4 linked regions of the Tamandua tetradactyla genome follow. The protein of the gene in region 1 purifies or fractionates together with the protein of each later gene. This does not show direct contact. Links are inferred from orthologs where the notes say so. Each region holds a gene or a part of one and is shown in the gene's direction. Other genes may lie near its edges. The genes, in order: CPSF6, RNPS1, ITCH and RBBP6.

The links.
Region 2: the proteins of CPSF6 (region 1) and RNPS1 purify together in Homo sapiens (co-immunoprecipitation; 3 studies listed by BioGRID and IntAct, with this or other methods). This does not show direct contact. The link is inferred for Tamandua tetradactyla from reciprocal best matches to the Homo sapiens genes CPSF6 and RNPS1.
Region 3: the proteins of CPSF6 (region 1) and ITCH purify together in Homo sapiens (affinity purification with mass spectrometry; 5 studies listed by BioGRID and IntAct, with this or other methods). This does not show direct contact. The link is inferred for Tamandua tetradactyla from reciprocal best matches to the Homo sapiens genes CPSF6 and ITCH.
Region 4: the proteins of CPSF6 (region 1) and RBBP6 purify together in Homo sapiens (affinity purification with mass spectrometry; 3 studies listed by BioGRID and IntAct, with this or other methods). This does not show direct contact. The link is inferred for Tamandua tetradactyla from reciprocal best matches to the Homo sapiens genes CPSF6 and RBBP6.

What each region holds. Positions count from the first base shown.
Region 1 is NC_135333.1:137,452,991-137,460,804, forward strand, and holds the start of CPSF6 (cleavage and polyadenylation specificity factor subunit 6), read left to right. Parts: upstream 1-4,806; 5' UTR 4,807-4,881; coding exon 4,882-4,941; intron 4,942-7,814. UniProt on the Homo sapiens protein: Component of the cleavage factor Im (CFIm) complex that functions as an activator of the pre-mRNA 3'-end cleavage and polyadenylation processing required for the maturation of pre-mRNA into functional mRNAs.
Region 2 is NC_135349.1:55,261,150-55,268,691, forward strand, and holds the start of RNPS1 (RNA-binding protein with serine-rich domain 1), read left to right. Parts: upstream 1-4,525; 5' UTR 4,526-4,633; coding exon of another isoform or gene 4,634-4,635; intron 4,636-7,154; 5' UTR 7,155-7,271; coding exon 7,272-7,342; intron 7,343-7,542. UniProt on the Homo sapiens protein: Part of pre- and post-splicing multiprotein mRNP complexes. Auxiliary component of the splicing-dependent multiprotein exon junction complex (EJC) deposited at splice junction on mRNAs.
Region 3 is NC_135327.1:18,487,547-18,495,496, reverse strand, and holds the start of ITCH (E3 ubiquitin-protein ligase Itchy homolog), read left to right. Parts: upstream 1-4,935; 5' UTR 4,936-5,057; exon of another isoform or gene 5,058-5,109; intron 5,110-7,950. UniProt on the Homo sapiens protein: Acts as an Acts as an E3 ubiquitin-protein ligase which accepts ubiquitin from an E2 ubiquitin-conjugating enzyme in the form of a thioester and then directly transfers the ubiquitin to targeted substrates.
Region 4 is NC_135349.1:32,520,303-32,527,696, reverse strand, and holds the start of RBBP6 (E3 ubiquitin-protein ligase RBBP6), read left to right. Parts: upstream 1-4,383; 5' UTR 4,384-5,515; coding exon 5,516-5,681; intron 5,682-7,394. UniProt on the Homo sapiens protein: E3 ubiquitin-protein ligase which promotes ubiquitination of YBX1, leading to its degradation by the proteasome.

The sequences.
Region 1 (7,814 bases):
TACAAGAGTAGGTCCCCAAATTTCAAAAATTTTAAGAAGACTATTTGAAATTCAGTGATATAACTACTAATTATAGTATGAGGCCAAGATGATTAGCAAAACATTTAAAAATTTTGTTTATTTCATCCTTTAAAACTTTATATTTATATGCATATTTATGGTGTATGTTAATATAAAATGAATTCATATAGTGACATTAAATTGTGTGTGTGTGTGTGTGTGTGTATATATATATATACACATACATGTACTGTGGCTACCTGTTTTTAAATGTTATACTGATGAGGTGAGTATTTTTAAAGGTTTGGAGAGCACAGGGCTAAATTACGGTCTCAAGTGCATTGGAAGCCTAGTCATGTTCCTACAGAGATGATGATATTAAGTGACTGATTTGGAATAAGTCAGAATGATTGCTAGTATTAAATATTTATAGCCTTTGTTTATGCATTGCCAATCTAACAGGTAAAATGTATTAGATATCCTTTGGGGTGTTTGCCTAGCTCAATGCAACATTTTTTCTCTGAGAATTCTCCACCCTTTCCTAACTTACAGGATGAAATTTGTCAGTCATGTTTTTACAGTGTAACCCGCCCCCTCAGACAGACTTGGTTGGACTGAGAGTAGATTTCTAGCAAAAAAAAAAAAATCTAATCAGCTGCTTTCTCTTTAGAGTTTTGTAACTGAAACTAAGACAATTAACCATTTTTCTTGAGCAGTAATTATCTGAACCCTGGAGTTGATTGTTGCATAGCCATGTGTATGGAAAAAGAGAGAAAGCTCTTCTGTTCAGGGAAGAAACGGATGTACAGAAAAAACATTATCTACCTCCCTTATAACTTCTTGGTTTCCCTTATTTAATTGTGATTTTACGTTTATGTACTTAAACCCCACATGTCTGTATTATTACTGTTTTACACAATCTTTATTCAGAGTTACCAACATACTTAACATTTTCACTGCTCTTTATTGCTTTCTGTATCTCAAATTTTCGATCTGGGATCAAATTCTTTCTATCCAAAAAATATCTTTTAAATTTCCTTGTGTACCAGTGGTAAAATTCTCATAGTTTCTGCATATCTTATTTTGCTTTCATTCATTTTTTTTTAACATTTTTTTACTGTGAAAGATAACATATATACAAAAAAGCAATAAATTTCCAAGTACATTTTAACAAGTAGTTGTAGAACAGATTTTAAAATTTGGTACGGGTTATAGTTCCATAATTTTTTTTTTTCTTCTAGCTTCTCCAAGATACTGGAGACCAACAGAAACATCAATATAATGATTCAGCAGTTATACTCATTTGTTAAATCCTATCTTCTCTGTTATGCTCCTCCTCTTCTTTAAATAACATATAAACATAAAAGCAATAAATTTCAAAGTATATCACAACAATTAATTTTAGAACAGATTTCAGAGTTTGGTATGGGTTACAACTCCACCCTTTTTGGTTTTTATTTCTAGCTGCTCCAAGGTACTGGAGGCCAATAGAAATATCAGTATAATGATTCAGCACTCAGACTCACTTGTTGAACCCAACCTTCTCTGTATAACTCCACCATCACCTTTGATCTTTTTCCCACTCTTTACGGGCATTTGGGCCATGCCCATTCTAACTTTTTCATGTTGGAAGGAGCTGTTGATAATATGGGACAGGGGGATGAAACTTTGCTCTCATTCCTGAAGGATATTCTTCCTGAGTATAGAATTCTAGGTGGCAGTTTATATTCTTTCAATTCATTTAAAAGTCATTCCACTGCTACAAGCAATCTACTGCTTCTTTGAAGAGAATCAGTCCCTTTTCTCTGGCTGCTTTTACGATTTTTCTCTTGGATTTGAGTTTTCTATTTTTTCTCTATGATGTGTTTAGGTGTATATTTTTAAGTTTATGGTGCTTGGGATTCACTGGACTTCTTGTCTAATATTGTCTGATATTTTTCATGATATTTGGAAAATTCTCAGTTATTATCTCTTCAAATATTGCTTCTAACCCTCTCTTCTCTTCTTCTACAACTCCAATTAAATGCATGTTAGATCTCCTCTCTCTAGCCACTATTTCTCCTCTCATATTTTCCATCCTTGGTTTCCTCATGCTTCATTTTGGATACCTTTTTTTTTTTCCTGATCTATCTTCTGTATCACTAATTCTGTCTCCCAGCTGTCAAAAGCATAGCTCAGCCTCTCATTCATCTTTATGCATCTGCAAATTCTCCCCTTCTCTTACCAGGGCAAAAGAAGTTTGAATGTATAGACCCTATTCTCTTCTACTTCTTGGCCAGGAAATTCCACACTCACTCTCATTAACTTTCTGATGATTTAAAAATTATGTTATAGTGTACTTCCTCACTCAACAATGTTCAAAAACTAAAACATTACCATAGATTAAAAGAAAAAATTCTTAATAATAACCTAATCTACCACTTATTGAGCACCTTCTACAACATGCTAGTCTCTTTATTAAATTTCTTGTAGTCATCATTGTACTTAGATGAAAAAAAATCAATGCTCCTTCAAAGAGCATTGATGAGTCTTAGGACTTTACTACTTAACGTAAAGAAAAGTAGGCTTTACTACTGATTAGCCAATTGACTATAAACAAGTCCTTTACCTCAATACCGTCATAAAGGGCTGGGTGGATAATTTTAAAAGTTCCCCTACTTCTGAAATTCTATGACTCAGGTCTACCTAGAATTGAAAGCCAAAGGTATCCTTGGGAGTTGAATGTTGTAGAGGAACTTTCTTCCAGCCCACCTGTATTAGTTTGCTAGCGTGGTAACAAATAACCACTTTATTGGCTTAAAACAATGAAAATTTATTATCTTACAGTTCTAGATGCCAGAAGTCCAAAGTCTGGCCTTGACCAAGATTTTGGCAGGTCTGTGTTCCTTCTGGAGAATCTAGGGAAGAGTCCATTCCTTGTTATTTTGGTTTACTAAAGCTGTGGAATGCAATAGACCAGATGGGCTGGCTTTTAACAATGGGGCATTATTAGCTTACAAATTTATAGTTCTAAGGCCATGAAAATGTCCCAGTTAAAGTATCAACATATAAGAATAACCCCCAGGATAACCTCTCAGCTCTGTTTGAAATCTCTCAGCCATTGAAACATTGCCTCATTTAGCTCTTCCCCCTTTTGGTCAAGAAGGCTTTCTCAATTGCTTGATGCCAGGTTTTGGCTCACCCCAGGAGTTCTGTCCCACCTTGCCAGGAAAATTTATACCCCTGGGAGTCATGTCCCACATAGGAGGGAGGACACTGAGTTCACCTGCCGAGTTGGCTTACAAAGGGTGGCTGCATCTGAGCAACAAAAGAGGTTCTCTGGGTGTGACTTTTAGGCCTGATTTTAAGTAGGCTTAACCTATCCTTTTGCAGGAATAAGTTTTATAGGGGTGACCCCTAGATCAGCCTATTGATTTGGTTGTCCCCACTGTTTGCAAGAATATAAAATTCTCCAAATGGGGAGGTTGATCTCAAAATCATTAACCACACCCGCAAAGTTCCTTTTGTCACATAATGTAACATACTCACAAGTTCTGGGTATTAGGGCATGGACATATTGGGTCGTCATCATTCTTCCTACCATTCTAAAAATTGCTCTTACCCTTTATGTTGGGTGATTTTTTCTTCTATAAAGACTACTCAAAGTCAGAAAGGAAATCAGTATTTCTCAATGGTAGGCACTTTTTGCCTTTTATCTCCCTTAAGGTACCATCAGCCATCTGAGGTAGATTTTATTACCCCAATTTTAAAGATTATGAGACAGAAGATGAGAGAGATTCAGTAACTTGACCAAGGTCATCAAGTTCATAGAATGTCTGAGCAGAATTTTGTACTCAACCAAAACCCATGGGCAGATGTTGGCTTGGCTTAGTACTTTAAGATTTCTGGCTAGTCCTTATCTTAGGAAACATTCTAATTTGGAGGTTTTAAAAATGGGTTAAAAGTAGGGGGAAGTTTTCAAACTGGAGAAATACCTTTAAATGAAGTATCCGTGGCAACACGGTTAGATTGCTTAGGTTCTATTAGGTCTCCAGCTCCTGCCAAATGAGATGTTTGGACCTGATCACACACCATTCAGTTCCTTTCCCGTTTGGACATTCGATGTTTCTAAGAGATAATCTCTTTACCTTAAGATTTCTCCACCTTACTGGATGTTTGTCCTACGATAATTGCATTCAAGCTACAGGTATCTGAACTACCAGTGAAAGCCAACAGCAGATCAAATAAGAAAAAATGAGAATGAAAGAAGATAAGTGATGAGAGATTGAGAGGGACACAAAGAGAATAGCATGCAAATGACTAAACACAACCACAAACGGGCTTCTAGCATTTACGATGGAAATGGAACTCTGCCGTTCTTTGAAGGTAAAGGAAAACGACATTATTCCTGCTCTCAAGGCGCTTAAAGAATGACCGAGGGGTTACACTGTACCTAATCGTGGACAACTTCTACCTCTCTAGACGTCCTGGCTGTGAGAAATAGAAGGAAAATTAAGAAACAAAAATACATATTTTAAAACAACAAAAAAACCCCACTACGTTTGAGTGTGCCAGAGGCAATGTAAAAACACGGCCTCTGGAAACAACTGGGATGCACAGGAAAGCTAGGTGCGCGAGTAAGAAAAGGGACTTGTTCCCCCTCCCCCGCGGGCCTAAGCCAGACACACAAAAGAAACCGCTTTTGCCCTCAGCGGCAAATAGCATCTTTTCAGCCAGCGGAGCCGCTAGGCTGCAGAGGCGACCGCCACCCCCGGGCGCCCCCGCCTCCGCCTCTCGGCCTCGGAAGTGACGTTAGGGCGCCCCGCCCCCGCCGCTAGATCCGCTGCTGCTGCCGAGGCGGGCAGACCTGCAGGAGGCGGCGGCGGCAGAGCCCAAAGGAAGATGGCGGACGGTGTGGACCATATAGACATTTATGCGGATGTGGGCGAAGAGTTCAACCAGGTACGTGAGGGCCCCGGCCGGTACCGCCGAAGTGGGCGGCACTGCGGCCCGGACGCTGACCCGGGGCCGGAGGCGGGCCGCGAGGCCGCGCGGCTGCAGACCGTGCGCCCTTGCCGCCTGTGGGCCCCTCCTCCGGCTCCGGTGCCCCCCTCGCCCCTCGTTCTACCGCGTCGATTCGCGGGCCGCGTAGCTGCGGGGCACGGACGCAGGCCTCCGTCGGTGCAGCCGCCACCGACCCCTCCCTCGCCGCCGCTTTGCTCCTTATTGTAGGCGGCGGCCGGCAGGCGCTTCTCTCCGCGCTAGGCCCGGGCGGCGGGGCCGCGTGTGCGCGGCGGGCAGAAAGGGCCGCCGCCGCATCCCCTCCCCCTCGGGGCCCGAGAAGGAAGCCTCGGAGGGGCTCGCGCCGGCTGCCGTCTCTTTCCCGGCGCTGCCGTCCGGGCTCCGATTCCTCCTGTCGCTCCATTTTGTTTCCTTGTCCACGCACTGTCGCCTCATGGAAGGCCGCGTTCACGGCCCTTTGTATCCCGCGCGCCCCGCTTCCCGGGCGCTCTTGCTTGCGTTTGCGACAGGTTTCGGCGTGGCGCCTTCCTCCTCCTTCCCTGACCGGGAGAAGGCGTGTTAAATGTGAGCATCTTTGCAACAAGTGTTTTGACTTTAGAACCCACGAATTGTATTTAAAAGTCGGTACGCTGGCTGGCCTCGTTAATCGAGGGCTTTGCAGTGCCTTTGCGGCCCAGTCTCTCTTGATCTTTGTGATACAAATTCCTGTGAAGATAGGTGGCCTGGGCGAAAAGCAGTTCTTGGAAGCGCGATGGTAGGATGCAACAAAAAGATCCATGGTATTTTCACTTAGAGATCAGGTGTAGAGGCGTGTTTAAGAATAAAGAACGGACATTCACCCGAAATTCTTAAATTTGAAAATAAAGAATTTTAGATATGCTGTATTTGAAAGCAAGATGTTAAATTACTCGGAGGGATCCACTTTATATTTTGAGAGGTTAGAGAAAGTGAGAAAGCAAGATTTGTTCTGGTATCAGGTCACAGTTGCCTAGAACTTGGTGTCTGATGATAAGCATCCTTGTAGAAGATCTTGTTTAACCAAGTTAATGACGTTTAAGCCCTAAAGCCTATGTTCACAACTTTGCTGCATTTTATGTGACACCTAATAGCACTGTTTTTTATATTTTCCAGGTTCGAACGAGAAGCTTAATAAAATTTTGGTTAATGTTTGGGTTTTTTTTCCCTTCATTAAGGATTTTATTTGCGGTAGGAGGTCAAGATATTTTAAAATACGAAAACTCCAGAAATCTTACATTCCTTTTTTCAAGAATGTGTGGCTCAAATATTAGAAGAGGAAAAAAAAATCTTAATTAGCTTTTAAATATTTCCTACTCCCTTCAGAACTGCAAATGTTTAACTGTAACCCATTGTCATTAAATGTTGAGTTTAAAAATTCTTGTGTTTTAAATTCACTTATATTTTGCTTGTATGATACTTGAATTGTGTCGATGAGAACTTAGAAAGTTTCCTTGAGTGCTACACAGCATCGGGTTCTAATGCTTTTAATTTCCATAGATAAAGGCTTCTAGGAAATTTCTTTTATGTATTTATCAGATGAGTAGAGCGCTCTGACCAAAAGAAGCCACACCTGTGAATAAAGGGACAATTAAATGTTCAAGATTGTCTTCCTTACTTTTTCCTACAAAAGAATATATTGGTTTGCGTTTCTACCCACAATAAAGGAAGAATTAGGGCGAACTTTAGAGATTAAGCTTTCTTGATTACCTCTTTATGAAATGTTTTTAGACTTCTACATACTTAATTTTGGAGGGACATCTCCTATATCCACATAGGTGGTTGGAGTGATATTTTTTTGTTATCTCTGTGCATTAAGGCTTGAGTGAGCAGGAGGTAAGAGATTAAAATTTTGTGAATTCGATGAACTATTTTGTAAGGTTCTTTTAGAATGTCACTTGACTTATATCTGGGTCATTATATCTCATAAATAGTTGTGTGATTTTGCCCCCTAAAATTGTTAATGTCTTTGAATGGATTAATGGCGGGAGGCATTACAGTTTTATTAAATACAGGCTTTGTTTTTGTTATTTTGCATATCATTGGCCTCTAATCTGCTTGCTGTGGTAATTCCCTATTTTAAAAATGGCTGCAAAAGGATAATTGGTCATTTTCAAGGTTCATCCTGTTTTTAAAAAATGCTAGTATCATTGAAAAATTTTTTTTTAAGAGACAACTGTGAAGTTATTGCTGACTAATTTAGTTTTGCCCTCTATTAGATGATCTTATTTCTACTGGTTGCTATACTAAACTATAAGATTTTGAATAAGAAGTAATTGAGTACATTATTTTACTATGTTAAGTCAGTCGACTTAAATTTTTGACTTTTAAACTGCGTATGTAACTTGAAATGCTTCGTGGTTTGTGTATTTTCTGTTTTTTACTTCTTTAAATGGTGGTAGTTTATGAAGCTTTTAAAAATTATTTTGGTAAAGCACAGTATTGGTCTATCTGAAGTTGTGTGTGAGGCATTCTTTTGTCTTAGAAGAAACTAACTTGTTTGGGGATGGAGTGAAAACAAGAAAGTGAAACTGCAGTAGAGTTCCTTTCTTCACCTGGTGAATTTAAGAATGGAAAAGAAAGCTAGAGGAGGTGAGAAGGCACAAGGGAATTGGCTATCTTATTCTTTGTGGAGGCCCTTTAGTTCTTAAACTGAAGGTTTTTGGATGTCACCAAATTGAGAACAGAAGAAAGCTGTTCTGTCTCAGTCTCTATAGTGTTTTAATTCAGTTTGAACTGTCATTTATACTTAGTGTAGTAAGTATTAGCCTAGTATGTAGTAATTACAGACTTTAATT
Region 2 (7,542 bases), on another chromosome or scaffold:
CAGTCGGGGAGTCCCCATCCATACCTGCCACTACCTCTGGCCGGCAGGAGTAGGAGGCTGGAGCTGTGGGGTTGGGCCCTGCCTTCCTTTCTCAGCAGACGGGGCTGCCCAGGCTCTGTTCCTGGGGCCCAGCCCACACCCCACAGATGCCTCCCTGGTCAGAGAAGCTCCATGTGGCCTGGCTGCAGGGGGCTCAGGGGAGGCCAGGCCAGCTATGGCCCCTGCTGCTCCCTGGCTCTGCAGTTCATCCCCTGCTGCAGCCCCCTCTCCCCTGGCAGCCCACCCCAGGGTGGGCAGCTCGGTGTCACTGGCCTCGACATTCTAATGACAAGAAAGGACACGTTGCTTTTTTTTTTTTAGGATTTTTTTTTTATTAATTAAAAAAAATAAAACATTTAGAAATCATTCCATTCTACATATATAATCAGTAATTCTTAATATCTTCACATAGTTGCATATTCATCATTTCTTAGTACATTTGCATCAATTTAGAAAAAGAAAAAGACAACGGAAAAAGAAAATGATAATAGAGAAAAAAAAAAAACTATACTTACCATACCCCTTACCCCTCGCTTTCATTTACCACTATTTCAAACTGAATTTATTTTAACATTTGTTCCCCCTATTATTTATTTTTATTCCATATGTTCTACTCTTCTGTTGATATAGTAGCTAAAAGGAGCATCAGACGTAAGGTTTTCACATTCACAGAGTCTCATTGTGAAAGCTATATCATTGTTCAGTCATCATCAAGAAACATGGCTACTGGAACACAGCACTACATTTTCAGGCAATTCCCTCCAGCTTCTCCACTACATCTTGAACAACAAGGTGATATCTACTTAATGCGTAAGAATAACCTCCAGGATAACCTCTCAACTCTGTTTGGAATCTCTCAGCCATTGACACTTTATCTCATTTTACTCTTCCCCCTTTTGGTCAAGAAGGTTCTCTCAGTCTCTTGATGTTAATTCTCAGCTCATTCTAGGGTTTTTCTCAGTCCTTTGATGCTGAGTCTCAGCTCATTCCAGGATCTTTGTCCCATGTTGCCAGGAAGGTCCACACCCCTGGGAGTTATGTCCCATGCAGAGAGGGGGAGGGTGGTGGGACTGCTCATATTGGCTGGAGAGAGAGGCCACATCTGAGCAACAAAAGAGGCTCTCTTGGGGGTGACTCTTAGGCCTAAATTTTAAGTAGACTTGACCTACCTTTTGTGGGGTTAAGTTTCATGTGAACAAACCCCAAGACTGGGGGCTCAGCCTATAGCTTTGGTTGTCCACACTGCCTGTGAGAATATCAAGAATTCAACTTAGGGAAGTTGAATTTCTCCCCACTCTCACCATTCCCCGAAGGGGGCTTGCAAATACTTTTCCAGTCACTGATCAAATCACTCTGGGATTCATCGGGGGATCACTCTGGACAAACCAACAAAATCTCAAGTGCTACCTGAGATTACTAGTACTTATGACATTCAAACTATCTACATGAGTTATATTAGGAAATGCTCTAGTCGAAATCTAAATTTTGTAACAAACATTTTTTGCTTTAGTCTTACACATAATGTGACATTTTGAAGTATTAGTTATCATCTATTTTCAGCACCCAGCAATAATGACAATCCTTTGTTCTTCCTCATGCAAAACATTTTTAAAATTTGTACATTGTACATTTCACTATTATTATACACTCTAGGCATTCCTAGATTATACCATCTTGATCTTTAACATCTATCTTTCTTTCTGATTTCATTTATGTCCCCAGCCCTCTTCCCCCTATCATTCTCACATGCAGCCTCATTCAGTGTTTTAACATAATTACATTAGTTAGGTAGTATTGTGCTGTCCATTTCTGAGTTTTTGTATCCAGTCCTGTTGCACAGTCCATATCCCTTCAGCTCCAATTACCCACTATCTTACCCTATTTCTATCTCCTGATGGTCTCTGATACCAATGACATATTCCAAGTTTATTCTCTAATGTCGGTTCACATCAGTGGGACCATACAGTATTTGTCCTTTAGTTTTTGGCTAGTCTTACTCAGCATAATGTTCTCTAGGTCCATCCATGTTGTTACATACTTCATAAGTTTATTCTGTCTTAGAGCTGCATAATATTCCATCGTATGTATATACGACAGTTTGTTTAGCCACTCGTCTGTTGATGGACATTTTGGCTGTTTCCATCTCCTTGCAATTGTAAATAATGCTGCTATAAACATTGGTGTGCAAATGTCCGTTTGGGACACGTGGCTTTGAGCCTGAAAACCTGCACAGCTTCCCAGCCCACAGCTCTGGCCCCCCAGCCCCTCTGAGGCCCGTCTCCCTCAACCCGCTGCCCCTCCTCCCCCCACCCCACCACGGACAGTGTCCTTCTGCAGCACCTCCTCCATCCACCCCGGTTCCCCCTCCTCTCAGCTGCACTCAGCATCCCCATCCCCTTTAAGCCGCCCCTCCCGCACACCGCCTAATTCCTCTCAGCCCGCACGGTGTCAGGCAAAGGACTCGAGGAAGTCAGGAAGTGTCTGCTGGAGGGGCCAGAACCCAGGCCCGCTACGACCAGGCTTGCCCCAACCCCATCCAGGCCCCTTCAGACAGCATTAAATTCTCCCCAAAGTCACACAGCTCCTTGCAGCCTCCGCTCCCACCCAAGCAAGCCCCTGTGCTGTACCCTGGGCTGGGCCATGCCTGTCTTTAGCACCCATAGCTGGCTTTAGTGATGGGCACAGGTGCTTCCCAGACATCGTTTTCAAGGGGATTCGGTGCCCGCCTCCACCACCAGAACTGCCACCCCAGCTCTCGCTGTGTCCCAGCTGCCAGCCTCCGAGGGTGGGCCCTGCAGAGGCCATCTGGACCAGGGAGGGTGAGGGCAGGAAGAACATTCCACCTTGCTGTAAGCATGCTCCCCACATCAGCACTCCCCAAGCCTCCCGGGAAGTCTAAAGCACCTAACTGTGCAGAGGGAGCACCGGTAGTGAGGAAATGGGGGAGGGCGCTCCCCAGTCCCCCGGGTGTCAGTGACCTCGGCGGCCTCTCCCAGGATGCTGCCCCAGGCCACGTGCAGAACTTCAGGGCCCGGCCAGCTGCTCAGTGCCCTGTCCACAGAAGCCTGCCCTACCCCCATCAAACCACCCCATGGGGGGTCCCCATGACCTGGCCTTGCCACCCTCAGCGCCCACAGCCTTGGCAGGATGGCACTGGGTCACAGGAGTGGGGAAAGGCAGGACTCCCGAGGGACGGGAGAAATGTACATCCATGTTTCTTATGAACACATTTCTACTGTGTCTCAAAATGGCAAGATCAGGATGCTCAATTTTTAAAGCTCAACAGCTGACTGTACATTTTATAACAAAAACCAGTAATATTTAGAAACAAATTTAATTAAATTCTGAAGTGTCTGAATAAATCATGTTAAGTTTAATATAAAATGTGTTAAATTTTTCAGGCATGCCAAATTAAATTACTTTAGCGCATTAACCAAAAGCAGGAGGGAGGAAGGGGGCTGGCTTTCCACCCCCCACCGCCCTCTCACCACGGTGGGGTCTCCTAGCTGCCCCTGAAGGGTCAGTGCTGCCCTGGACACATGATGGTTGGCTCGGGATTTGGGGAGCCCTTGCGGATTACGGGTTCCCACGTGCTGTCACTTCTGCCTGACTGGACCACCTAGTCCACCCCATCCCCCAACGCCCACCTCTGGCTCCCCCTCACGGCAGCGGGAAGGGCTGAAGGCACCACCCACTGGGGCACCCCTCGTTCCCACTTACCCCTTGATGCTTGGCCACGCCAGGGGACGTGATCACAAGGCACAGGATTTAACTCCTCCTAAATGTCGCCACATCGAATCTAAATCCAGGGGGGCGCCCCCACCCCCAACCCTGGAAAGTGTGGGCAGGACCCCTCCTTGCCGGCTGTGTTTTGCCCCCCAACTCCTCAGGCCAGAGGGACTGGGGAAGGGAGGGACCACACCTTTCCACCCACCCACCCATCCATCCATCCTGAACTCTTTCCTGTCCTTCACTTGAGGCCCTTCCTTCAAACCACCGGCAGGAATGTGCTCCCCTCCTCTTCCCCGCTGCACCACCGAGTTCCAACAGGTCACCCAGGCCGAGCACCTTCTCTCCTTCCACAAATAACTGCGAAGCGTCGACTACTTGCCGGCCACGGGGGTGACGAGGCGGGGAAGGAACCCGGCGAGGCCCGCGCCCTCCCAGCCCCCAGAGGCTCGGCAGCGGCCCGCACTGCGCGCCCGCGTTCCCACGCCTCGCCTCCCGCACCCACGCGGGACTCCGACCGCGCGAGCCCAGGCTACGCCCCAGCAAGCCCCCGAGCCCAGCGCGCGCGCACGAGAGGAGCGGGGCCGCGCGCCCGTGTTAACCCCCTGGCTGCCGGCCCATCGCCCGACCCACCCCAGCGCCGGGAGACGCCCCCAGGGAGGGAAACCAGGGCGGGTCCTTGACGCGGTGAACCAGAAACGCCCTTGGCCCTTTAGACTCTCCTCGCTCACGGCCATTGGCTGCCGCGGTTTACGTCATCGCTGTGCGACGACGGACGGCGCGCTCCCGCTCCCGAACCCTGACGACAGACAGGCGCCAGCCTCGGCGGCTGAGGAGAGCGGGAGGCGCTGTCGGCGGCGGGAAGATGTAAGTTCGGGGCGGAATCCGACCCCATCCGAGCTTGCAGGGCCGCCCGCTAGGCGCGGCGGGGCGCATCGTGGAGCCGGCCCCTCCACAGGCCCGAGGCGGGAACGGCGGCCCGGCGGCTTGGGTTCTTGGGAGAAAGTGCGGGCCGGGGCGGGCGGAGGGGGAGGCGCCGAGGCCGCGGCCCGGAAGTGGTCGGGCCCGGCGCGGACGGAAGGGCGCCCCTCGCCCGGTGCGCTCGGCGGCGGGCCCAGCTAGGCCCACGGGGCTCCGAGGGGCCGGCAGAGCGGTCTCCGCCCTCGCGTCCTCCCGCCGGGCCAAGACCCGGACCCGCAACGGCCTGGAAGCGCTCGCGGCCCAGAGCCTGGACGGGGGAGTTGTGAGTGAACGCGGACGGGAGGCGGCAAGGTCGGCGGGCGGGTTGCTTTGTGGGCGGCCCGGAAGACCGGCTGATACTCGGTTCCTGGTCAGCAACTCACACATTTGCCCGTCAATGTTACCGGGTCTCTGGTGCCCGTCTCGGTACCAGGCCTTGGGAATCCAGCCCGGTGTAGTCCGAGCACGGTGACCGAGGCGGGCACAGTCCCTGCTGTCGGAGGGGCTCCGTGTCACGGGTTCCCCCAGAGGGGAGGGTGCTGGAAGGTTAAGGTCGCTGGAGGAGACCTGGAAGATGCTTTCCTGCTTTAGTTTTTTCGCATGAATTGTGCCTAAAATGTACATTTAAGTGATAAAGGTGCTCTTAAGAGTCGAGCCCAAACGCCATCCGCTCGGGATGTAACTAATTGTTCTCTTCTTTCTCTGGCTGTTGGACGCCCACCATTCCGGAGGATGGGGGAGGTGACTGCGGTCCTGTCCTGTTACCCGCATTTGCGTGGACAACCTCACTCTTTGCTTTCTAGTACCCGGCAGTACCCAGCAAAGCGCTCATTTATTCTGCGATTCTTAGTTTTTACAGTGCTTAAAAATAACCGCTGGTGTTTGTTTTGCAAAGTGCATTCAGGGTTATGTCCTCGAGATCTTTAGGATTGGGGTGGGACCCAGGAATCTGAATGTGTAACCTGTAAGCGGGGTCTCTGCAGTAGCAACTAGCCACATGTAATTGTGGAGTACTTGAAGTATAACTGGTCCCAGTTCAGTTGAAAAATGTACACTAAGTTTCAAAGATTTGGTATGAAGAAAGAATGTGAAATGTTTTATTAATCTTATATTGACATCTTGGATATACTATATTCACTTTATTAAAAATTTCACCTGAGTTTTACTTTTTATAATGTGGCTACTGGAGAATTTTATGGTATGCTTGTGGCTCTTTATTCTCCTTCTGTGGACAGCATTGTTCTAGGTGATCCTCACCTGGGCAGGCCAAGGACACCTGTAGAGCATTCAGGAACCGTGTGTCACTTTGGAAACAAGTGTGCATGTGGGAAAAGAGCCTCCAAAAGTTGAGAAACAACCCTCTCATAAAACATCAGCTACCATTTATTGAGCCTTAACTGGGTGCCAGGTCTCTTTGGTGGATTAATTCCATGAATGTACTTGTTTCCAGATGAGAAAATAAGAATCAGAAAGGTTCAGTGACTTGTCCAAGGTTACATAGCAAAAGTCTTGAATTAAACCCAGGCCAACTGACCCCTATACTCTATACTCCTATCCACTGAATTCTACTCCCTGATTGCCCAAGGACACTCACCTTATCAGGTGCTTCCTGCTGGTATCTGTAGCACTTTATTTTAAGGTTTTACAGCCCTGGGAAGGAGCGTAAGGGTGATAGTCTGCTCTCTTCCACATAACCAGCATTAGAGTCTAGAAGTAATATTTCTGCTTTCTTTGCTTTATCGTGTTTCTAGCCATCTATTAATCTTATATTTCATTTCAAAGAAAATTGTACTTTCTCCCTACACTGAAGTACACATTACCTTAAAGTTCAGTATTTCCAGTAACTACTTTTTAAAGTATCATTTTCCTGCATTTTTAATGTTCATATGGGACATTTTATCTATTTGTGTTTGGGTATTAAGTGTTTTGATGCTAGTACTAGTCACTTTTGAAATATATTTTTGCTTGTAGTTATATGTCCAGTATATCCTAAAAAGAAATTACAGCAATAAAACAAGACACCCAGTTTTATAAGGAAAACCACACTTGAGTTAGGCTTTTCTCTGTGTTGCGTGTGAATGGGGTGCTGTATTTTTTTTAAGGGGCTTTAGAGGGCTCATCAAACTTATGGCCCAAGAAACTTATATACAGCCTGTAACATGACAATGACAGGTTTCACCTCCCTCCCACCCCCATTTGCTCAAGAAAAACAGAAGCTGAGGTGACGGTTCAACCTGTGCCTCCTGTAGGGTGAGAATCCTCTGTAAGGAAATGGTGACTGCCCACCCCAGGTTTCTGGCTGCGTGGACACTCTTTGCTTACTGTGTTCACGTGCCGATTTCTCATGTGCTCAGCTTTTTACTGCAAAGTAGATTTGTTGCCTTGCCAATCCGTTCACTCTTTAAATCCTTTTATCTTGTTATTAGGCTGCTCTTTGGCGTAAATTGCAATCGATTAGGGATCGTTTCTCAGAATCGAGTTAGAAGTGAGAGTTCAGATCAGTGAGGCCGCCATTGCTGCTCTGAACACTTCAGAAGGGGAGAATGGATTTATCAGGAGTGAAAAAGAAGAGCTTGCTAGGAGTCAAAGAAAATAATAAAAAGTCCAGCACTAGGTAATCCTTCTGTCAGATTTTTCTAGTGCTACTTCGGGGGTGCTACTGCTAGGAACTCTCAGAAAGGGGAAGGTTGGAAATGTTTTGCATTTGACAGTGAAAATGTCCTAAGCCACAGAGCATTTTGCTCTGAGGTTCCCTGAGTTCTCTGGCCCTTGTGGCTCCGTCCTGTGGGTTGTGGTGTTGTTCAGGGTTCTGGT
Region 3 (7,950 bases), on another chromosome or scaffold:
TTATTTGCTAAATCTGGTAACACTATCTGGGAGGGAATGACTGAGGTGGCTAGGAACAGAGATTATGTACTTCATTTTGCAGATGAGGAAACAGTCTCAAAGAGGGGAAATGATGGAGCCACAACCTCAGGTCTGAAGTGATCTCTCTGGGTCCAGATCTCAGACTTCTAGAAGCCCTATTCAGCGACTGCTCACCATCAACACACAGTTTCTCCACTTTTCAATCCTTCCCTTGCCTTTGGCAATGAAAAGCAGAGGGGTTTCAGGGGGTCTGCTCAGATCAAGATGGTAGAGTGAGTTAGTTCAGGGCTCTGTCCCTCCACAGAAGCTTTGAACAACAAGCAAAACTGGCGGAAACATCTTCCTCAAAGTTCAAGAAAACAGTTAAAGGACTGCAGTTGTAGTTTCAGATCAAGAAAACGTCTACTTAGAAGTGTTAGCATCTCCTGGCACTCTGGGTGGCTCCTTCCCCACCACTCCCTGGCTCAGCTGGCAGTGGCCCCAGAGCAAATCCCTGGTCCCTTTGAGAGGAAGCAAAGTAACCCTCACGCACATACATACTAGGAGCATGTATGTCTGCTCCAATCGTCTGGTGTTGGCCAGAGGGTCTGGCCATCATAGAAATTGTCCTTTGAGTGGGAGAGCAGTCAAGCAGACACCTGAGGCAAGGAGATTGCTGGCTGAAGGTCTCAGTGCCTGAGACCAGGAGAAAACTATTTCCTAGGGGAGAGGGGACATTGGGAATTTTGTAAATGAGAGCATTCTTAGGCCACACATGCATACCCAAGACAAGACAGGCAGGATCAGCATGCATAGAAAAGATCAGGGTGACCCCTATACCTTGGTCTGGAGATATTCTCTGAACTCTTTGAATGGATAAGGCCTGAAGGAGAGCACTTGCACAGTTAAAGTTAACACATGATCCTGGATGGGGTGTAGCAGTGGAGGAGAGGAGACCCAAAAGGATATTTGTTGGGACATATGAAAAAATAGGGATATAGACTGTGAGATTTATATCAGTGTTAAATTTCTTGAGCTTGATAACTGCACTTAGGGTGAATACTAAGTGAATATCTCTGTCCTTAAGAAATGTACATGACAGTATTGAGTGTTTAAGGAGCATGATATATATACAACCTACACTGAAGTGTTCAGAAAATGGATTGATCAACAGACAGACAAATGGATAGATAGATGAATTGATAGACTGATTGATAGTTAGAATAATACGGCCAATGTGACAGCATGTTAAAATTGGTGGATCTGGGTATCTGGGTGGGGAGGGTATGTTGGAATTCTTTGTATGGAGTTTGTATTATTTTTGTAACTGTCTTGTAAGTTTGAAATTATTTCAAAATGAAAAGTTAAAAAAAATAAGAATAAAAAAAGCAGAGCTGCTCCAGGGAATAGAAGGACAGCAGCATGAGTAAGTGTTCTGTAGGGAAAGCCACTAAGTGACAGGTGGTATGTGGGCTGCTGGGGTTTCTGTCCCCACTCCTTCTGGCTCTGTATCCCTGGTACTTTCCCTTCCCATTGCCTGAGAAGACTGGAAAGCTCCTTGCCTACATGTTGGCATGCTTCTACAAGCCTACCCCTGTGCTGGCGTGTCGGGGCTCTGTCCTTTGCTGGCAGGGTGTCCAAGGCAGAAAGAGGGAAAAGTTACCTGGAGGCTTTATCAGCCACTAGCCCTATATTCTGACCAGGACAAAACTGAGCTGTTTTTTTTCTTTATCTCAGAACCTGGAAGCTAAAGATACATTGCATGGGAGATGAGGCATTTAGGCTGGGATCCTTGTCTTCACCAACTCAGCTCCTCCTTAGAGAGCTACCAACTCCTTACCCTTGATCTCATAGAATCTTCACAACATCCTAGCAGGTAGGATCTATTCTTATTTTAGAAATCTGGACACTGGGGTTCAGGTGACTTAACTAAAAGCCCACAGCAAGTTGTTGACACAGGCAGCACTAGATTCTTGATCCATGTGACTCCAAAGCCCAAATTTTTAACTCTTGCTGGTTTAGGTACTACCTACCAGGTCATAACTAATTTGTCCTGTTGGGGTTAGCAAGGTTAGTACAGCATAGTCTAGTATGGCTCTCAAAGTGTGATCCTGGGTATCAGTATGACCTGAGAACTTGTTAGAAAGGTGAATTCTCTGGGCTGGCCCCAGACTTCCTGACTCAGAAATTCTGGGGTGACACACCCTGCATTCTGAGTTTTAACATTCCCTTCAGGTGATTCTAATGCACCCTAAAGTTTGAGGTTCTTTGGCATGTAGTCGAAAGAGATATATTTTTAGAATAATATGAGTGTAAATATCAAACATATATTTGTTTTTAGTAAACTTATATTGACATATAATATAAATGCAAAAAAATGCACAAATTGTAAGTATCCTCTAAAATGAATTTTCACAAAGCTGACACACCTGAGAACCAGCACTCAGACACAGAACATTATTATCGATACTAGAAGCCCCTTTGTGCCTCTATCCAGGTGAGGCAGGACAGAATAGGGCATTGAGGCTGTGGTCCCTAGTTTTGTACCCAGTGCCAAAGGAGTTAATGCACAACTGCAAACTCCCTAGAACAAGAATTTCCTCCAAAGCTCAGAAATCCCCCAAAACCATAAAGCTTATTAAATCACAGGTCCAAAATGGACTCTTAGTTAATAACAGAAAGTCTGAGGTCATAAAGATTGTTAAACAGTGTGCTCAAAATGAACTTTTAGTAGGAGGTCACAAGCACCAATAGTTATCTCCTCCTGAAACATGGAAGACAACTGGCACTCAAAGGTCAAAATGGAAAATTGCTGCTAGCAAAACCTCCCTATGAAACCATGCCACCCGGAGCATGCCTCTTCCTTGAGCACATCTGCACAAATTTCTCTAGCGTGTACTAACTTTTCAGTAAATTTCAATGCTTACTGTTACTTGCTTTCTCATCCTTGAATTATTTCTCTCATCCTTGAATTCTTTCTTGGGGCAAGACACCGAGCCTGGAATGGAGCTCAGCTCTGGTGTTGGCAAAGCTCTGGTTACACAGGTGCTACCTCCCCTCAAAGGGCAACCACTATTCTGACTTCTAATGCCATATATTAGTTTTTTGTTGGGTTTTTTTTTGGCTTTTTTAAAGGGGAATTTAGTAAGTTGCAAGTTTACAGTCCTAAGGCTGTGAAAAAGTCTAAATTAAAGCAAGTCTATAAAAATGTCCAAATGAAGGTATCAACAAGAGGTTACCGTCACTCAACAAAGGCTGATGAATTTCAGGGTCAAATGGAAAGGCACATGGCGAACATGGCGACATCTGCTAACTTTCTCTTCAGGCTTCTTGTTTGATAAAACTCCCTCAGTTTTCCTTCTTCATCCTCCAAAGGTCTCTGGCTGCCTGGGCTCTCTTGGTTCTTGTGCTCTCCTATGGCTTGCTAGCTCTCTCCAAAATGCTTCCTCTTTTAAAGGATTCCAGTAAACTATCATATATTAGTTTTGCCTAACATTTATAAAATTTTTAAAAATTGTAGAAAACAAAATCTGGAGCTAGAGGACTTGGTTGGATCCCTAGTTTCTGGCTGAGTGATTTTGGATTATCATTTAATTTCCTTGGGACTCTGTTTCCTTCTCTGAAGAATGACCATACAAGTAACTCATATCTTAAAGAGTCACTATATTTCTCAAACTTGTTTGGTGACAAGTATCATCTGGGGCACTAGTCAGGAAATGTGGCTTCCCCTAGAGTATACAAAAATTGTTTGGAAAAAGGAGAGGACAGGGGAAAAAAAATCTTACTTTTTAATGTATAGAGCACAGGTCCACAAACAGTAATAAACATATATGGTATATCTGTGGTATTAAAATTTCAGGGGAGCCAGTAGGCAAAAAAGTTTAAAAAGGCTCCTTAGGGGGATGGTAACGAAAAAAGGTTGAGAACACTGCCTTAGTGCAGTGGTTCTCAAAGTATGGGTCCTGGTTAAAAATACAGATTCTCCGGTCCCACTTCAGACCAACTGAATCAGAAACTTTGAGAGTGGGGCCCAGCCTTCTATATTTTAGCAAATCCTCCAGTGATTCCCATGCACAGCAAACTTTTGAGAATCAGTATCGTAGAGAATGTGACTGAATTAGGCGGCCAGGAAGTAATATTTTTCTCTAGCTCTGCTGAAACTATTGTGAGAAACTCTGACACGGTGGATTTGAAGTTCTCTGAAAAATGTTTAAGTGGCTTTTTCGATGGTTAAATATTATTTTCATTAGGTGCAAACAGGCTAAACAATAGTAGCAAAAGTCACTAATTACTGACCATTTAGTCCCTACTTCCCAGGTCTTACTGGCACAGCTTGTGTCAACGACAACCCCTGAAGGAAGGCTAAGAGGATGGGCTCCGAAGTCAGATCGCCTAAATTCTTATCTCGCTTGTGACCTGGTTTATGCAGCCGTAAAATGGAGACAGTAACAATTCTTCCCTCATAGGTTTGTATTGAGGATTAAAGGAGTTTAGTGATGAGTACTCTAGAATACCTGTGGCCATTTAACTGTAAGCTACTATCATCATCCCTTAGATCATCCTGTTAAGAGGTGGAGAAAGGGGGATTTTAACCCAATCAGTATAACTCCACAGCAAAGGACTAAGTTGCAGTCCAACGATTCTCAAAGTGTGATCTCCTACCTACTGGTAGCATCACCGGAGAACTTGCTCGAAATGCAAATTATCAGACCCCACTCTAGACCTACTGAATCAGAAACTCTAGGGATGGAGCCCAGCAATCTATGGTTTAACAAACCCTTCAGGTGATTATGATGCACAAATAGAGTTTGGGAACCAGAGCCCTCCCACCTGCGGGGACGGAACTCGGCTTTAGGGCGCATACTAGCCCCCGCCCGCACTTCAGGGCCGGAGGCGGACGAGTGAGCAAGGCCTGCTGGGGCTTGTAGTCCGGACAGCTCCCGAGCTGAGGCGCCTGCGCGTTGGCTGCCAACTCGTTCTAGTCGCTGTAGTTGGGGCTCGGGACCGGCTGCCATCTTAGTCGAGCGACTGAGGAGTCGCCGCCGCCCCGAGTCCCGGTAAACACCCGCGGGCGGACCGGGGGCGGTTCCAGGGAGAGGGGAGAACCGGGTGAGAGTGTCCGGGAAGATCGAGAGGTAGAGGGGTGCGGCGCGCGAGCCGTGACCCCAGAGTCGCGGCTGCTCCTTCTTCCCTTAGAGTCAGTGCCCGTGGGGGGCGCGGGGAACTCGGGTTAGTGACCCGAGGCTGGGGGTGGGGTGGAGGGGGCGGTCGACTGGTCGGGCCGGGCGGCCAGTGCGAGGCTAAGGCACCTGGAGCCCCTCTCCTCGCGGGCGCCAAGTTGTGAGGGAGCTGGGCAGCAGTGGGTTCGGGCAGGGTCCGGCACCGCGCTCCTCTGCCCCGCCCGGGGGCCACTCGCGGGTGACCCGGCCTACACGCGGACCCGGGCGGCTGTGAGCGACGTGGCCTCTGTGAGGGGCGGTTTCTGGACCCACCTACTCCCTGGCTGGCTTGCCCAAGACTTTTTGTAGCCCCCAGTCGCGAGGGGGCCCAGCACAGCGGCTCTCTTCCCTCCCTTCCTGTATTCTCCTCCTCCTTCCATTGTCCCCCCGCGTGGTGGTCCTGGCCCGGGCGCCCTCGCCCGCACCCGCCACCGCTGGGACCCCGGCCCGCGCCTTTCTGCGCCAAGTTTGCAGACGTGAAGCTGTCACCGTTCTCCCTCCGTAGTGTGCCCTTTTCTGTAGCAGAGTAAAGAAAAAAGTAGCCGTGAACGATGTCTAAGTGTTTGAAACATGTTGACATGAATTTAAATGGGGGATTCAAGTTTTCAGACTTAGTTTGGCCCGCGACGTGGAGACACACAGGGTCTGTGTACCGATGTAGACTTTGGGCCTAAAGTTAGTCATCTCTCTGACCAGGTGAACTTGCAAACTCCCCGGAATTCACTGTTCTCCAGTGACAGTTTATCTTGTTCTCTTGGTTATATTCGTTTCTTAATCTTGTTACATTTTCTGTCGTTATTCTACAGCTGCAGTATAGTTTTTGGGGGAGGGGTTGGGGAAGGAATGGTAGGATTTTTCTTTGAAAATTTGTGAAGCACTATAGTTGCACTAAATCTATCTCTAATATAATTCCATCTTAATAAAGTATATAAAGGCAAATTTATTTCCACTCTCAAAATTGGCCAGGGACTTGTTTCACAGCTGAAATAAAGTTCTCATGGCAGATGTAGTGAGAACCTGCACTGTGTAATCACACGTTTTCTCAAGGTACAGTTATTTCATTTTTGAGATCTAGAAATGAAGGTGGAAATTCAGCCTTCTTGAATAGCGAATGCAAACTTTTTGAGTTTCACCTTCACTATATAAAGGAAATCAACCAGAATATAGTATGAAATAAAAAGCAAGTGTAGAATACTTTTTCAGCATGTTCTAGAATGAGTCATTTTTCTACATTCTTTTTCAAAACACATCTTTACACCTTTTGGAAGATTTCAGAAGAAGCCAGTGGTCTCTAAATTTAACCATTAGAATAACTAGGGTTGCTTTTTAAATATAGAAATTCCAGGGTCTTACCTCCTGAAATTAATTTAGTAGGTCTCTGTTGGTCCCCAAGGCATGTTTTTAAAACATGGCTTTGTAATTCTGATGGTCTTGGGAATCACTAATATAAACAATACCATGGACACATAGCCCAAAAAGTTCTGAGAAAGGTCAAGAGGAAGTGGCCAGTTACACCTGGGGGTTGGTCAGAGAAGGAGCAGTACCTGTCCCTGGACCTGAAGTTGGGTCTAAAGTGTTAAATAGGAATGTGACAAATGGGGAAAGAGAAAAAAACATTAATCCTATCTGTAAATGCAGAGGCCAGAAAGGTGAAACAAGGCAAGTATATGAAAAGTTCTAAGCATAATGCTAAAAATTTGAATTTTTAATAGATACAGATTTTTAGGCAGGGAAGTGATATGAATATGTGTGTTTTAGAAAGGTTCTGGTGATAAGAGTGAAAGAATGAAGAGGGGCTATTGGAGAAGTTCAGATGAGAGGTGACAAAGCCTGACCTTGGAGAGAGGCTTTGGGGATGATTGAGGGATTGAATTTGGTTCTTCACTGGTACAGTAGTATTTCTACTTTAATTGTGGATTGGGACTTTTTAGGGTCAGTTTGGGTAAAGGACTCTTTTCTGTCAAGAGTCCATTAGTAAATCAGAGTAATATTGTTGGCTTGTGTATGTTAATGGTATCAGAGTGAGTTGTTCATTAGCATCTTTGAGAATTAGAAAAGGTCAGGTGTAATTTGGAGGAGGATTTGGACTGAAATTTATGAGTATTAACACTATTGATCGAAGCTTCATTGAATGTAATTGTTTTTCTTCCATTCTACAGAAACTTGGTGTTGGAATTTTAGAGTTGGGAGAGATTACAGAGATCATCTAGTCCACATTTGCAAATATATTTTGGTTTATGGGTCAACCCTCACTGGAAGTAGCTGCAGAAGGACTGTTGCAGTTCTGGTCATGAGTGTTCTGGGAAAGTGTGTTATGATTGGACGCACTTACCTAGTAGATAGGTTTTTTGCCTATTGTAGCCTCTTAGTTTTTGCTTTGCTTAAAAAAAAAAGGAAGAAGAAGACTAAAGAGGTTAAATAATTTTCCTAAAACTAGTTAAGAGTCAGCTAGACCTAGAACCCAAGTTTTGTAACCCTAGTTGGTAGTCTTAAAATATACCAAGATGAATGTATACTACTAAGGAGCTTTTGGTATTAGAGAAAAACAAAAACAAAAGTATTTCTGGCCTGTTCCTCTTGACTGTTTAGGCAAAATTTTTACAAGGAACTTTGGCTTAAAAGTGAGTTTTGCTTGTATTCATTCTGGCCCAAGAGATTTGTGTTTGGCTGAAGGAATAAATTACCTGTTTTCTTCCCTTCCTTTCTTTTTCCTCTCAATTTTGAATTTTGG
Region 4 (7,394 bases), on another chromosome or scaffold:
AGAATGAAGTTGGAAGACTTACATTTCCTGATCTAAAACTTATTACAAAGCCACAGTGTTCTAGTTTGCTAGCTGCTGGAATGCAATATACCAGAAATAGAATGGCTTTTAAAAGGGGTAATTTAATAAGTTGCTAGTTTACAGTTCTAAGGCCAAGAAAATGTCCCAATTAAAACAAGTCTACAGAAATGTCCAATCAAAGGCATCCAGGGAAAGATACCTTGGTTCAAGAAGGCCAATGAAGTTCGGGGTTTCTCTCTCAAGTGAGAAGGCACACCGTGAACACAATCAGGGCTTCTCTCTCAGCTGGAAGGGCACGTGGTGAACACCGCGTCATCTGTTAGCTTTCTCTCCTGATTTCCGGTTTCATGACGCTCCCTGGGAGGCGTTTTCCTTCTTCATCTCCAGAGGTTGCTGACTTGTGGACTCTTTGCTTCATGCTGCTGCAGCATTCTCTGCTCTCTCTGAATCTCTCATGCTCCAAAAATATTTCCTCTTTTATAGGACTCCAGTAAACCAATCAAGACCCACCCAAATGGGTGGAGACACATCTCCCCTAATCCAGTTTAACAACCACTTTTGATTAGGTTATATCTCCAGGGAGATGATCTAATTACATACAGTATTGAATAGGGATTATTCTGCTTCTATGAAATGGGGTTTTGATTAAAACATGGCTTTTCTAGGGTACACACATCCTTTCAAACCAGCACACACAGTAAGCAAAACATTGTGGAACTAGCACGAGGACAGACATACAGACCAATGGAACAGAATTGACAACTCAGGAATCAATCCTCACATTTATGGCCATCTAATTTTTGACATGGCAGCAAAGACCACTCTATTGGGAAAGAATAGTTTCTTCAACAGATGGTGTTGGGAAAACTGGATCTCTATTTGCAAAAAAAAAAGAAGAAGAAGGACCCCCCCTACCGCATACCCTATACAAAATTAACTCAAAATGGAACAAAGACCTTATTATAAGACATAAACTCTCAAATTTTTAGGATAAATAATAGGCAAGCACCTTCAGGACCTTGTTTTAAGCAATAGTTTCTTGGACTTGATACCCAAAGCATAAGTAACAAAAGAAATAGATATGTGGGGTCTCATGAAAATTAAAAACTTTTGATCCTCAAAGGATTTTATCATGAAAGTAAAATGACAACCTACAAAATGGGAGAAAATACCTGGAATCCCATCTCTGATAAAGGATTACTATACAGTACGTATAATGAAATCCTCCAACTTAACAACAAAAGGTAAACAATCCAATTTAAAAATGGACAAAAGACTTGAACAGACATCTCTCCAAAGTAGATGTTTCAAGGGTTAGAAAGCACATGAAAAGATACCCAACATCATTAGCTTTCAGGAAGATCCAAATCAAAAGCACAATGAGATGCCATTTCACACCCATTAGAATTACTGCTATTAACAAAATGAGAAATAACAAGTGTTGGAGAGGATGCAAAGAAATCTGGACACTCATTCATTGCTGGTGGGAATGTAAAATGGCGCAGCCACTGTGGAAGACATTTTGGTGATTCCACAGCAAACTAAGTACAGAATTACCACATGACCCGACACTTCCACTTCTAGGTATATACCCCAAAACGTTGAAAGCAGGGATTTGAATAAATATTTGCACACTGGGTCATAGCAGCATTATTCAAATTCAAATTTCCAAAGGATGGAAGTGACTGAAATGTCCATCGGCCACCGAATGGATAAATAAAATGTGGTATATACCTACAATGGAATATCATTCAGCCAAAGAAGGACTAAGCAACAACATGGAAGAACCTTGAAGACATCATGTTGAGTTAAGTAAGCCAGACACAAAGGGACAAGTATTGTATGATCTCACTGATTTAAAATAATTTGAATAAGCAAACTCACATATTCTATATTCATATAGAGTCAAAATCTAGAGTATAGATTATCATGGGATGGGATGGGGATAGAGAATAGGAAGTTAAGGCTTAAAAAGAGCAGGATTTCTGTCTGGAATGATGGAAATGTTAATCATCGTGACGGTAGCACAACCTGTTAATGCAATTAACAGCACTGAAATATACATCTGAATGTGATTTAAAGGGGAAATTTTAGATTGTATAAATGGAATCAGAATAATATTAAAAAGAAAAAACTCCGGGCGGGCCACGGTGGCTCAGCAGGTAAGAATGCTTGACTGCCATGCCTGAGGACCCAGGTTCGATTCCCGGTGCCTGCCCATGAAAAAAAAAAAAGAAAGAAAAAACTCCTTGGAACTACACTGTGAACTCTAATTAAACCATGGACGATAGTTAATAGTAGGATTATAAAAATATGGTACCAATTGTAACAAATGTTCCACTCAATGCAAGATGTTGATAATAGGGTGATATATAGGAAAGCGATTTTTTTTTTTTTTAAACATGGTCAGGTACTGGGAATTGAACCCGGGTCTCCGGCCAGAACTCTGCCTGCTGAGCCATCATGGCCCACCCAGTAATAGGGTGATATATGGTAATCCGGTATTTTGTGCATGAGTGTTCTGTAAAACCCACAACCTCTCTAATAAAGAAAAAAATTAGGTAAAAGGGGATTAGTCAAAGACTAATACAGATTCACCACTTCGGAGGTGTGAATATCAATATAATTTATTCTTGTGTTTTTTCTTTCTTTAGATGTTATTAATCCTCTTACACTCTCATCGAGATTTTTCAAGGAAACCAATCATTCTGAACTGTGGGTGAAAAAATTTTTGTGAGTTACCAAAGAAAATGAGTGGAAACTTGCTGTATATGAAAAACACTGATGTGTATGGTTCAGCTAAATCATATTTGCATCTCTGGGGCTACGCTTGTAAAAATCTTACCCTTGTTGTAAAAATCTTATTGCCATGGTATTTCTATAGATCACATAAAAATGTATTTAGTTATTTAACAAATCTTTATTGGGCGTCTGCTATATCCAAGCACTGTTCTTGGAGCTGGGGACACAGCATAATCAAAAGAGAAATTCTTGCTCTCAACTGGGACCGGGAAACAATTAAAAAATAAATGTATACTATGTTAGTTAGTGATGAATGTTAAGCAGGGAAGAAAATACGGGTAAAGAGCTGGCGAATGCTGGCAGGGTTACCTAGATGAAAAACGTGGCCAGGAAGGCTTTACTGACAAGATGATGATTGGTTTAAATCGAGTTCAGTAAGAATTTAGTGTGTATTCAGGAAGTCTCTGGCAACTCTGCCACTTCCTGACTGTGTGATCTTGTACAGCAGTGACTAACTTTTCTGAGCCCGACTGGCCTGTAAAATTCAGAGAGGATAGAGGAAATGCGTTGTAAACGATAGTTATTATTGTGGATTATGAATATAGTTTATATTATGAATTTTATGAATGCAGTATGACCGCCCCATGCCCCAAGAAAAGAGATTCCAACTCATTGGGGTGGTGGTGGATGTTCTTTTGGAATAGTTCCTGCCCTTTGTAATTCGAAATGGGATTGAGACCCTGTCACACAGCTGGCATTGCTTTCTGCGAATTCAGAAAGTGCATCATTGCTAGCTTTAGTTTCCTCATCAATAAACTGGAAATAATGGTAGTCCTGACCACTTAGGGTTTTTGTTATTGTTGCAAAATTGACATTCATTGAGTCATTTTTGACGCGTATTGAACCACATGCCAGGCTTGGTTCCAAACAATGTAAATCTATTCATTCGTTTAAACCATAACAATCCAAGAAACCAAGTACTATTTTTATCAGCATTTTATGGTTAGGGAAACTGAGACACAGAGGGGTTAAATCTAGAGTCGGAGCTCTATGGTTCCAACTCAGAGAATTTGACTCCAGAACCTGGGAATATTATAAAGTGCTTATCCCAGTGCCTAGCTCATACTTAGAGCTCAATAAATCTTCGTTCTTCTGGATGTTATCAGTTCTAGGCTGCGGCTGGGATCAGAATTTCTATTTCGGAAGGGCTTGGGGTAGCCAGTTTGTTGGAAGTGGGAGGTAGGGAGTGTTTACATAGCAACCATAGCTTACTGCATAGTAACCATATGTTTACTTAAATTGGGGAGTTTGGGAGAGTTGATCGGAACTGTGGGGAAGGGACAGTTAGCCGGCCACCCCTTGGCACCCCACTGTTCAGTGGACATTAGCACAGCAGAAGCTGAAATCTGAACTCTCCCCCTAGAACCACCCTATGACCCGGTCCTTTTTCCCTCTAAAGCCTCTCCCCTCCCTTTAGAGGCGGATGGTTTCTTCCGTTCCTCGGTCTAGTTCAGGTTCCGCGCTCCTGAGTCACAAAGCGCCGGAGTCACGTGGGAGGGCCGGTGCGCTTTGTGACGTCGACGGCTCCGCCTCTCGGCCCGCCTATCCGCTCACGCCAGCCCCACCTCGCGCGCGCCGCCCGTGCAATCCTTGCCTAAGAGACCCCGGAGTCGGGCGCTCGCCCGAAGCCAGGCCGCGTCCGCCATAGTGCCTGGCTTGGAGGTGTCGCCGACGCTTGGTGAGGGCCGGAGAGCGGCAGGGGGGCAAAAAAAAAAAAAGAAAAAAAGGGAGCCAGCAAAGCCCCTTGCCGTTGCCCGGCGGTTTCCGGCCATATTCTGGCGGTTCTGGGCCTAAAGGCGACGGAAGCGAAAGGCGAGAGAAGCTCGGAGCACACGGCGAGAGGAAGCGTCAGGGAGACTCGGCGGCGTCCCCGGGGTCCGCCAGAGCCACCCGGCTACTGGGCTGGGGCCGGGGGTGGTGAGGAAGTGCTTCCAGGCCCAGTTGAGGCCTAGTACCGGCTTTGTGTCTAAGGCGGCGGCGGCGGCGGCGGCGCACGGCGGCGGGGGGGAGGTGGAGCCGGGGGCGGCCTGCAGAAAGGCCTCTCCTCCGCCGACCGCGCTTTTTTTGGCCTAGACCGCGGGGCCGCCTGTGGTCTGCCGGCAGCAGGAGAAAGGGGTTTGTGTGGGGGCTGGGGGCCTGGGCCTGGGGAAGTCGACGCCAGTCGTCCGGAAGCCAGGAGGAGGCGAAAGGCCGCTCGTGGACTCCGGGCCTAGGCCCTCTCCCCTCAACCTTCTCCCGGGGCCTGGGTCACCCCATTCCACGGAAAGAGACCAACCGGGAGGTGCGGCCACGCCATGGACCCCTGACCCCGCGGGGGTCACTCGGACTTTAACGTGTGGACTGACCGCTACTGACTGCACCGCCTACCCCCGTCTCCTGCCGGCCCTTAGCATGAGCGAGGGGGACCCAGCCGGGTGACATTGTGCCCGTTGGCGGATTCTCGATTTCCCCTTTTCCAGGTCCTCGTCTCCCTCCTCCCACATGAAGTGATTCTGAGTAACAGGGGGGGGTTCTGGATTATTGTTTTACGAACCCCTGCTTGTGGTTGGGGGTTATTTAATCCAAGACCTTAGGGTCCTTCCGTGTCTTTTGAGTGTTTTGTGTGTGTACATTTTTGCTCTTAAGTTTATAAATATACATATAGTGAGAGTGTCCACGTCTCCTCGCTGAACCTTAGGAATCCTTTGGCACCATGTCCTGTGTGCATTATAAATTTTCCTCTAAACTCAACTATGATACCGTCACCTTTGATGGGCTCCACATCTCCCTCTGCGATTTAAAGAAGCAGATTATGGGGAGAGAGAAGCTGAAAGCTGCCGACTGCGACCTGCAGATCACCAACGCGCAAACGAAAGAAGGTAAGAGCCACATGGGCTCCAGGTATTTGCTGGTTGAAGATAAATAGTAGTAGTAAGGTGTCTGGCAGAAGACTAACCGCCATTATGTCTCTGTTCGTTCTAATACTTTCCATGCAACTTTAATTGATAGCCAAGGGTTACAGCATCCCTACTTGGAGATTAACTGGTTTATTTAATTTGATTTCTGTGTAATTAGGTCATTTGTAACAGGCTCATCCAAAAACGTGAAAGTTTGATTATTTACTCTTTTTTTTTAATGAGAATGGGTGGAGGGGCGGGTATCCAGAGTTTGGTTCTTGCCTTGTGCTGTAACTTTTTTTTCCATCGAAAGAAGGTTGAAAGAGAGCATATGCAAGGCTTGTTATTTGTTAAAGCAGCAATAAAGATACTTCTCTAATTTTGCTTTTGGGGAATAATGGCAAATTGATGTCCTCCCTTTATCCCGCCCCTTACCCTTATTTTGGAGTTATTTTTGCGAATTTAATCCACCCACTCTTTAATGTTGTAATTGATTTTGGAACTTGATAGGTTCTTATGTGACAGGTTTTGTATTGTGTATAAATTACGGAATTAGTAATGCAGTAATTAGATAGTTGAACTCTTAGTTCATCATACTACTCTTAAAATTTAGCAGTTGATTAAAGATCAAAAGAACTGGTTTTTCTTTTTTAAAGTAGTAATTGCTGTACTTTACATGACTATGTTAGGAGAATATTGACAGATAGTAGGTTGCTACCATATGAGTACAAACAAACCACTGGCTGGAATCTTTAAGTTCTTTCTCCTTTTTGAAACTATTTTATGATACTGGAAATTGAATAATAGATGAAACAGTGTGCTGATGGCCTTTTCAGACTCTTGACTGTGAACTTGTTTTGGTTTCTTTTTCTCAGTACAGTAGTTTACAGTAGGTCAATGTTGAGTTTTATTGATGGAATGAGAATGAATGAAGTGAAGTTCTAACTAGGTTAGATTTATTGATCACTAAACTTGGTGTAAGATGTGACATTTGTTCATTTAGTTGATATGGGAGGACCCCCATCTTTAGCATGTAATGTGGTGTTGGGTAGAGTACATCTTTTCACGTAGAAGAGCAGCTTTCCGTTTCCAGACATAATTTAAAGAACAGCAATACCGGCATCATGACTCAGAACTGTTCATTAGGAAGAACTTTATTTACTTAAATGATTACATGTGAAAGAATAAACCCTCCTTGCCTCCACCATCAACTGCCGTTTTGTTTTTTTTTAAACAGATGTTATATCTAAAGAGCACTTCATATGAAGCTTTGGTCATTGTAATTATGTGTAGCATCCTTCTACTTAAGAAAAGGAGAGATTGTGGTCATGAACATTGAGAGAGCTTTTTTTAACATGTTACTTGAGAAAATACCTAAAGAGAAATATTCTTATTAAGCCCAGCAAATCATCCCTTAAGTATTGTAGTTACATTTCATTTAGGCCATATTGATATATTAATGAGCACTTATGAATGAGAGAAAGAAAACATTAATAATATTAATACAAGAGGATATAAAGGCAGTTTTAATGATTATGTACTATGCAGGTTTCATATTTTATTGGAGCATTACACAACTGAATCATTAAATGCTAGGCTTTGTCCTTTTCCATCTAACAGTTGAATACAACTTGAATAGACTGTGTGGAATAAGTTTTGTTTGAAGGAATTCTTGTCCATCAGCTTTGCTTTGTA